Linked DNA regions of Coturnix japonica. The protein of the gene in region 2 interacts with the protein of the main gene of each other region in a biochemical or structural test. Links are inferred from orthologs where the notes say so. Each region holds a gene or a part of one and is shown on either strand. Other genes may lie near its edges. The genes, in order: PKM and KPNA1.

What was found.
Region 1: the proteins of KPNA1 (region 2) and PKM form a complex in vitro, tested with the Homo sapiens proteins (2 studies listed by BioGRID). The link is inferred for Coturnix japonica from reciprocal best matches to the Homo sapiens genes KPNA1 and PKM.

What each region holds. Positions count from the first base shown.
Region 1 is NC_029525.1:978,457-982,272, reverse strand, and holds part of PKM (pyruvate kinase PKM), read left to right. Parts: intron 1-403; 5' UTR 404-422; coding exon 423-463; intron 464-675; coding exon 676-845; intron 846-1,211; coding exon 1,212-1,303; intron 1,304-3,735; coding exon 3,736-3,816. UniProt on the Homo sapiens protein: Catalyzes the final rate-limiting step of glycolysis by mediating the transfer of a phosphoryl group from phosphoenolpyruvate (PEP) to ADP, generating ATP.
Region 2 is NC_029516.1:69,210,897-69,214,712, forward strand, and holds part of KPNA1 (importin subunit alpha-5), read right to left. Parts: intron 3,464-3,816; coding exon 3,369-3,463; intron 1,833-3,368; coding exon 1,701-1,832; intron 1-1,700. UniProt on the Homo sapiens protein: Functions in nuclear protein import as an adapter protein for nuclear receptor KPNB1. Binds specifically and directly to substrates containing either a simple or bipartite NLS motif.

The DNA.
Region 1 (3,816 bases), on a different chromosome or scaffold from region 2:
TTCTGGGGATGCTTTTGTCTCATGGAGGCAAACATGGGATTTCTTACTCCCAGAAACATCCAGTCTTATGCCCTGTGGAGGCTTCGTACAGATGCAGGGGCTGTGGGAGACTGCTGCTGTTTATTTGGAGGAGGACATTCAAGGATTCTTTTGTCTTATTTGCATCGTCTGCCCCGGTGTTGTGTTCAATCAACTCAAGTCTGATTATCTGTGCGGGCTTAAAGGCTGGGTTAAGCCTAGGTGCACTTGGTGTGCTGAGGTGTGTCCCCGTGTGCAGCACAACTGCAGTCACACCAGCTGCCTTGATCCCTGGGCTGCTGGCAGAGATGGGCTGAGAGCGGGCAGGGAGCGGGCAGCACGCTGCCTGTGCACTGAAGCGCTTGAATTTTGTTGCGTTGTGTAGCTGCAGGGGAAGACTGGCAATGAAGAGAAGCTATGAAGGGAACTTCTGCATAGAAGGCAGGTGAGCTTTGGGTGGCATCCATGGGGAATGACATTTAAATAGAAGTGTGTCTTGCCTGTACCTAAGACTCTCAAGTAGGAACATAACGATAGTCTGACCCAGTAGCAGCTTTCTTGTTACCTCCATATTCATCACGTGGGTGTGTTGGTGTCTCTGCATGGTGAACGAGCAGGGGCGACCCTTAAACCCGGCACCATTTTCTTCTCTCGCAGACACCGAACATCAGTAACCATGTCAAAGCACCACGATGCAGGGACCGCTTTCATCCAGACCCAGCAGCTGCACGCTGCCATGGCAGACACCTTTCTGGAGCACATGTGCCGCCTGGACATCGACTCCGAGCCAACCATTGCCAGAAACACCGGCATCATCTGCACCATCGGTACGTGGCTCCCAGATCCCACATTGTAAGCTCAAGCTGTGTTTGCTTGTGTTGGTGAAACTCGTTGTGGGAATGTGGGATGGCTTCAGCCTTTATCCGTTGCGAGGGCTGTGCCTGTCTGTTGAGACTTGACTTTCCCATGCCTGCCTGCCCAGTTTTATTGCTTGGATTAAATTCAGTGATGTCTGAACTGGTTGGGTTCAAACGAGCTCCTAGAGTCAAGTTAAGACAAAGGAGCTGCTTTCATGTTGAGCAGTCTGTATCCACTGTGCTTCACTTATGCCTCCACGTGAAACAGCCTGATGTTTGTGGGTTGTCTCATTATCATATTATTAAGTTAATATTCAAACTGTTTCCTCCTTTCAGGCCCAGCCTCCCGCTCTGTGGATAAGCTGAAGGAAATGATTAAATCTGGAATGAACGTTGCCCGCCTCAACTTCTCGCATGGCACCCACGAGGTAAGGGTGGGGATGGGGCTGACACTGCCCTGAACTTGTGACTGCTGATCCCTTCCTTCCTTCCTGCAAGAGGAGACCAAGGGAAATCCAGCTTACTCCAGAGCAGCTGTGGTAGTGTAGGAAGACAAAACTTTATGCTTGTGGGAAGTGTGCCAGCTGTAAATACCAAGAGTGCTGATAACATTTCAGTGCTTTCTGGAAGCAGTTGTTTCCACACCCTTCTGTGCACCTACCTCTACCTGGGAGCCAGATAGCTGATGTGCGAGTTCCTTCACTTCTTCCCCACCCTCATGGGGAAGTGAACTCACATTTGCTTTACAAGGCTGCTGCTTCTGAGTTACTTGTGCACCTCTGCAGCAGTACACAACTATCAGTTGTCACCCTGCTTCACTGCTGGAGGTTTTAGAAACAGTCAGTGAATAACCTTGTCTCAAAAGATATTTGTAGTAATTAGTGTGTGCATTTGAAAGAATTGAGCTTCTGGATTTGCCTGGCTAGCCAGCTGCTCAGGTTATGTTCCTGGTAGTCATGAGGAAAGCAGTTCCTCGCTTATGAGGGGCAATAAACTTCTAAGAGTAAGGTCAGAAGAAATCAACACTGCTTCTGGTGGACGAGCCCTTTTTGATATAAATAGATGAAATCCTCAGCAACGCTACAGGAGCAGATGATCCTGTTCCGGGTTGCCCAGAATGCCACCCTCAGCATTGAGAAGAGTTCTTATGCTGGCTGCCCTCCAGCCTTTAAAATGTCAAACTGTAACCAAATGACAGTTGTCTGTGGCTTTAATTAGTGAACTGTGAGCCCTGAGGTGTGTAACAGCTTGACCTCTCGCCCTCACGGCCTTTAAAGGCCACAGGGCACTGCAGAAACCAAAAGGTCTGGTGTTTAGCTGTGCGCAGCCGTTGGACCATAGCTGTATTAGCCTGTAGTAGCAGCAGTGTGCACGCTGTAGCTAACCAAAATTCAATGTAAAGGGCTGTATGGGCTGACTTCACCCCTCAGGTCATGTGCTGCTACCAGTCGGGAGGCTCAGCAAGGAGTTGGTGGTCAAGCCTGAGCCTTCTTAGCTGTCATAGCACAGTGCTGTGGTTGGTGTGCTTGTTAGCTGAGGTGAAGGAACAGGGTATGTGGCTTAGCCTGGGGAGAAGTGCAGCCCAATTGCATGTTTGGTTTAGATGGAGGTTAGGTGACAGTGGTTGGTCTTGCTGCAATCTCCTGCCCAGTTTATCTGTCAGCTCTAACCAGGCAAATCTGAGTTCTTTTCTGGATCCTCAAGCACTCTGTTGTCCACTACAGTTGCCTGAGGTTTTCACGTGCTGTGCACGTTTCAGTTCCAGTGTTTATTCTAAAACACCTAGCAGGGCTTGAGTTAGCAACTAACCAGATGCTAGACCTTGAAGCTCTCTCATGGAGGAAGTCTGCTTTTACTTCAGCCCTTGTCAGCATTCCTGTTGAGTGTAATTCTCAAGGAAGTCAGAGTCCCTAGGAGCTGGTCATTGATCTGTATCAAGTAATAAAATGTCCCAGGTGACTGAGAGCAGACAAGCCCCAGACTCTGCTCAGACATGTTTCCTCTCAGTCACAGCTGTGGTGTGTGGAAGGACCAGGTTCCTCCTCAGACTCCACTTGTGCTTTTAATAGCAAACTTAATTTTTTGTGCTCTTAAGAGTTAACTGCAGTGTGTTTGTGGCTGAGGGTGTGCACACCAACCTGAGCACAGCTTGCTGCAGCTGCATCTTCCTGATCCCAAGGCAGGTGATGTGAGGGCAGCCAGGTGATTCAGGCTGCATGCTGTCAGCCCATGCCATGGGGAGGGGAAAGGGCATTTCTTATCTTCCGGAGTCTGCCAAGTATTGCATAACTCTGTCAGGCTTATCTCTAGTGTTGTTTAAACTAGATAGCAACCTGACTTGATGATCGTCTGAAGCTTGTTTGAGATGATTGGGATGGGAATTTCCCTGTGAAACTGTTCTGACATTGGCAGTACTAACAAAATGCTCTTGTGCACGTGGAAGGGTTTTGGAGCGTGGTGTTCAGTGACAGAGCTTTGAACTCCTGGCTGTGGTTGCTTTAGCTCTCAAAATAAGATGCAAATATATAAAGGGTTAATATCCTCTGAGTTAATCCCTTGTTGCAGCGGAGATTTCAGCCAGAGTTGTGAGTGTCCACCCATATGCCAGACAGCAGAGTCCTTGGTTCAGTTGTGTCTGTGGGACTGATAGTGGGGGTCAAAAGGCAGTGGGGCACCTTCACTTTCACACTCTGAGGGGAAGAGGACAGCAGCTACGTACAACTGTCACTTAGCTGTGATGTTTTCTTGGTGTGTCAGTCCTCCAGCGAATGTTATATCATGCTTTGAGTAGTATTTGGGTTATGTAGCATGAGCATTGGAGTAGAAGTCAGCGAAAGTTTCCCTTTCTTTTCCTTTCCAGTATCATGAGGGCACAATTAAGAATGTGCGAGAGGCTACAGAGAGCTTTGCCTCTGACCCCATCACCTACAGACCTGTGGCT
Region 2 (3,816 bases):
GGACATCACATATCACATAGCTGAGTCTGGATAGATTTTTACATGGGCAGAACATGGCATCTCTGCTATTTTGGCAAGATCAACACCACATTTCTAATTTCTTCAAAAATAGACTCATTTCCTCAAATTAAAAGAACTACAAAAATACTTGTATCCTCGAAAACAATTTTCTAAGGCACCCAAACTCTCTTAAAAAACCTTGGTAAAAATTATTCAGCATGAGAGAAGCCACTGAAAATGGAAAGTTGCAAAGTGGAAAGCTACAAGGAACTTGAAGAAATGTGTCTTTCTTGCAGAAAAAGTTACACAGTCTTAAGTACGAGTGGCTCATTCCGTGCCAGCTATAAGATAGAAAGGCAAGTTACATAAAGCAATTCAGTGCTTATCAGTTGGACTCCTCCAATCATGCATCTCAATACAGCCAAATGCAAGGTCAGACATCTAGGAGAGAGAATAGAGGGCACACTTACAGGATGGAGAACTGAGCCCTGGAAGTCAGTGACTCTGAAAAGAACAACGAATCATATTGGATAATCAGCTTAACTTGAGCTCACAGCAAACTTGTGTGGAAAAGAGTCCTCAAAGACATCTTGAATATTCACGCAAGGAAGAACCAAGTAGAAATGAGCTTTGGGTACTACCTCTGCAAACAGCACTGCTGGAACAGTACTACTTGGAATACTCAGAGCTTGTTATTTCACCACCATATGAAACAAAGAAGCGTTCAGAAAAGGATCGTCAAGAAAATTTTAAAAGCTAAAGAAATATCCATAGTAAGAATTCAAAGTTTAATCTCATTTGCTCAAGAAAAGATTAAGCTATCATCTGTAATTAAATATAAGAAAAAGCAGAGAGCTTACTGAGTAGACAGTGAAACAAAAGCTAATAAGCAGGCCCAAAGCTAATCAAATTTGTATAGTAGAGGTACACACGTTCAAGTTAGGGTTACGCATTACTCAAGATGTGTTCATTAGCACGATTGGTATTTCACCATCCTAAGTCTTCAAATCAAGACTAGACATCTTTTTAAAATACAACCTTGTTCAAACACAAGTTACTGCCCTCGAGCAGAAATTACTGAGTCTGTATGAATCTAATGTTTGGTCTGCACTTTATACGGACCTCTCTGTGCCTTGAAGAATATTAATCTGCTCTGTAAGAAAGGCATTCAAGTAGAACTTATGGACAATGACTGCATTCATTCTTTTATTTCATCATTAATAAAAACCAGCTTAGTAAGCAACATTACTTCACTATCCTTTTCATTCAACATCCAACAGACCTATAGCATGCTTGATTGCTCTTTTGCCTCCTTTTCCTTAATTTTTAGAGAACAACCTATAATTTCCATTCGTGTTTTACCTTCAGGAGAAATAAACGTGAACTTTCCACCTCTGAAGTATTTTTTTAAACAACGTTTCTTGAATTCCTCAGCAAGCAGAAAAGTGTTAACTCACTAGAGATCAAAACGCTACCACATTGGCTGTGGTTAAACGAATCATTTCCAGAACAACTGAAAAACAATATTTGCGCCTTAACACATACTAGGGAGGAAAAACATTATGTTGAACTGCCTGACACTACACTGCCTCTAAAGGCACAAGACTTTCTTAAAGAAGAGTCTTGTACTTTCATGTTTTTTAAAAAAAAAAAGAACAAAAAAACAAAAAACAAAAAACAAACACCATTCTTAATATTACCTGCTCCTGTACATCTTCAAACTCTGAACTAAGCAGCTCTATGAAGATGGGAACAGCTCCTGCTTGGATCACTATTCGAGTCTGAAGGGAATTCCCCGAGGCAATATTTGTCAGCACCCAGGCAGCTTCAAACTGGAAAACAAAATATAGAAGAAAATTCGTTGGGAGCCTTTTGTGTCAGATCAAAAACAGTGATGATATGTCCTAAAAACAGGAAGAATTGGTGAAGATAAAGCATGACTGCTAATTACAACAGAAGCTGAAAAGTAAGAGTCAGAGTTAAAAATTATGATTACGTGAACTCAAAATTTGCAAAAATTCCATACAGCCACAAGATCAGTTTTTTTAGTTTCTTTTTTAAATCATACAATTACGATCATACAATTACAATGGTAAAGAAAAAGAAAGTAAAAGGCTCATCTTAGTATTTGTTTGATACATTCTTGAAGATTTTTCTCATCATCACATGAGAAAAAATTAGTTATTCTTGTACAGTTTAAATGATCACAGGGAAGAGTGCAACTTTTTTAAACCTGAAAATCACTTAAGAAAAAAAATGTATATAGGGGAATTCCAGACAAATATAGCCTTCCTACCACTGCTACTAGAAATTCATTTTTCACTGGATATTCCACTAACAACACAGTAGAAACCTACAGAATAAAGACACACAGTTTCACGTTTACCAACATAGAATAGTTTCCACATTCAATCCATCATACAAGTAATACCTGGGCAAAAAAATACTTCAGTATTTCCTAAATGAGTTGAAGGTGTTCAGAATGAGTTCAGAACCAACAAACTGTCTAAATCTGATACATGCTCTTAGTTACTGTGCATGTACTTCTCAAAAGGAGCTATCAGATCTTTGCAATTCTACTGTCCTCAGTTTGGAAAGTAATTTCAATAAACTCTCTTTTCTCTATTTCGTAAGACAAGGAAAAAGTCCTTTTCGCATATTTCCAGGCACTAAATTTTTGATTTCACAAGCCAATAACAAATGAAGAAACACCAATTTAGCCTATGTATCACATTTAGCCATTAATTATTAACATTTTCTTTTATTATGAGATCAATTTCCTTCCACTTTATACTAGCCTAGAAGAAAGACTGACACAGTTCTAAGGATTAAGTCCAAGACACATTGACTAAAACTGTAGCAGATACAACTTAGTTTTTCCAACCAAAACAAGCAAGCTTCAGGGCTTCTCTTTTTTTGTTGTTGTTTTTGTTTTTTATGTTCAACTCTAATTCTGAACTACTCAGAATTTAATCAAAACTTTATGTCATAATTCTGAACACTGAAAACAGTCTTCAGTTAGTATAAAAGTAGACAAACAGTACAGTTTAGTTTAATAGCTTTTTTTCATCATTTAAGGCCATCTTTCAAACTGTTTTTGTTATACAAGGAAGTCCAGGTAAACATCCCATGTTAGACACCACCCAATAAAACCCATATTCTCTCATTCTCTCACAGCCATATTAAAGGCCCAGCAACTGAGTTTATTATTAAGAACCCTTCACAGTAAAATAGGTGTGTTATTCTTATAAAGAAAAGTACAGCTCACAAAAAAAAAAAGTGATGACATTTGATGACATTTTCTGCCTTATTTGCACCACCAAAAGCCTTCATAATACAGAAAGAGATATATACTTATATTTTTATACCTGTAATGTACAGTTTTCTTTCCGCTTGAGGAACTCCACAAATCTTGCCACCACGCCTGGTGTGCTTATGACTTCATCTATTGGGGGATTTGGTTCTATTTAAAACAAAATGGAAAGTTAAGAAGCATTCGTTTATTTGTTGGGGGAAAATTCCTAAAACCACTGCACCAAAGTAATACCCAATGACATGCTGATTTTTCTGAGTCTTATTTTCTGTTATACTGCTTTATCTATCTTTTCTACTAAAAGGCAATGAATTCATCAAAGGAAGACTCCAATTTACATTGTGAAGTACTACTATAACATGATTTAACAGTAACACACCCATTAACCTAAGCATAAAAACTTGACAGCAACAGATCTGCAAAGTCACTTCGGTGCACATATGCACACAGTTCAACTTCCAGAATTAATAAATTGTGAGCCATAGAGACACTGACTAAAATGC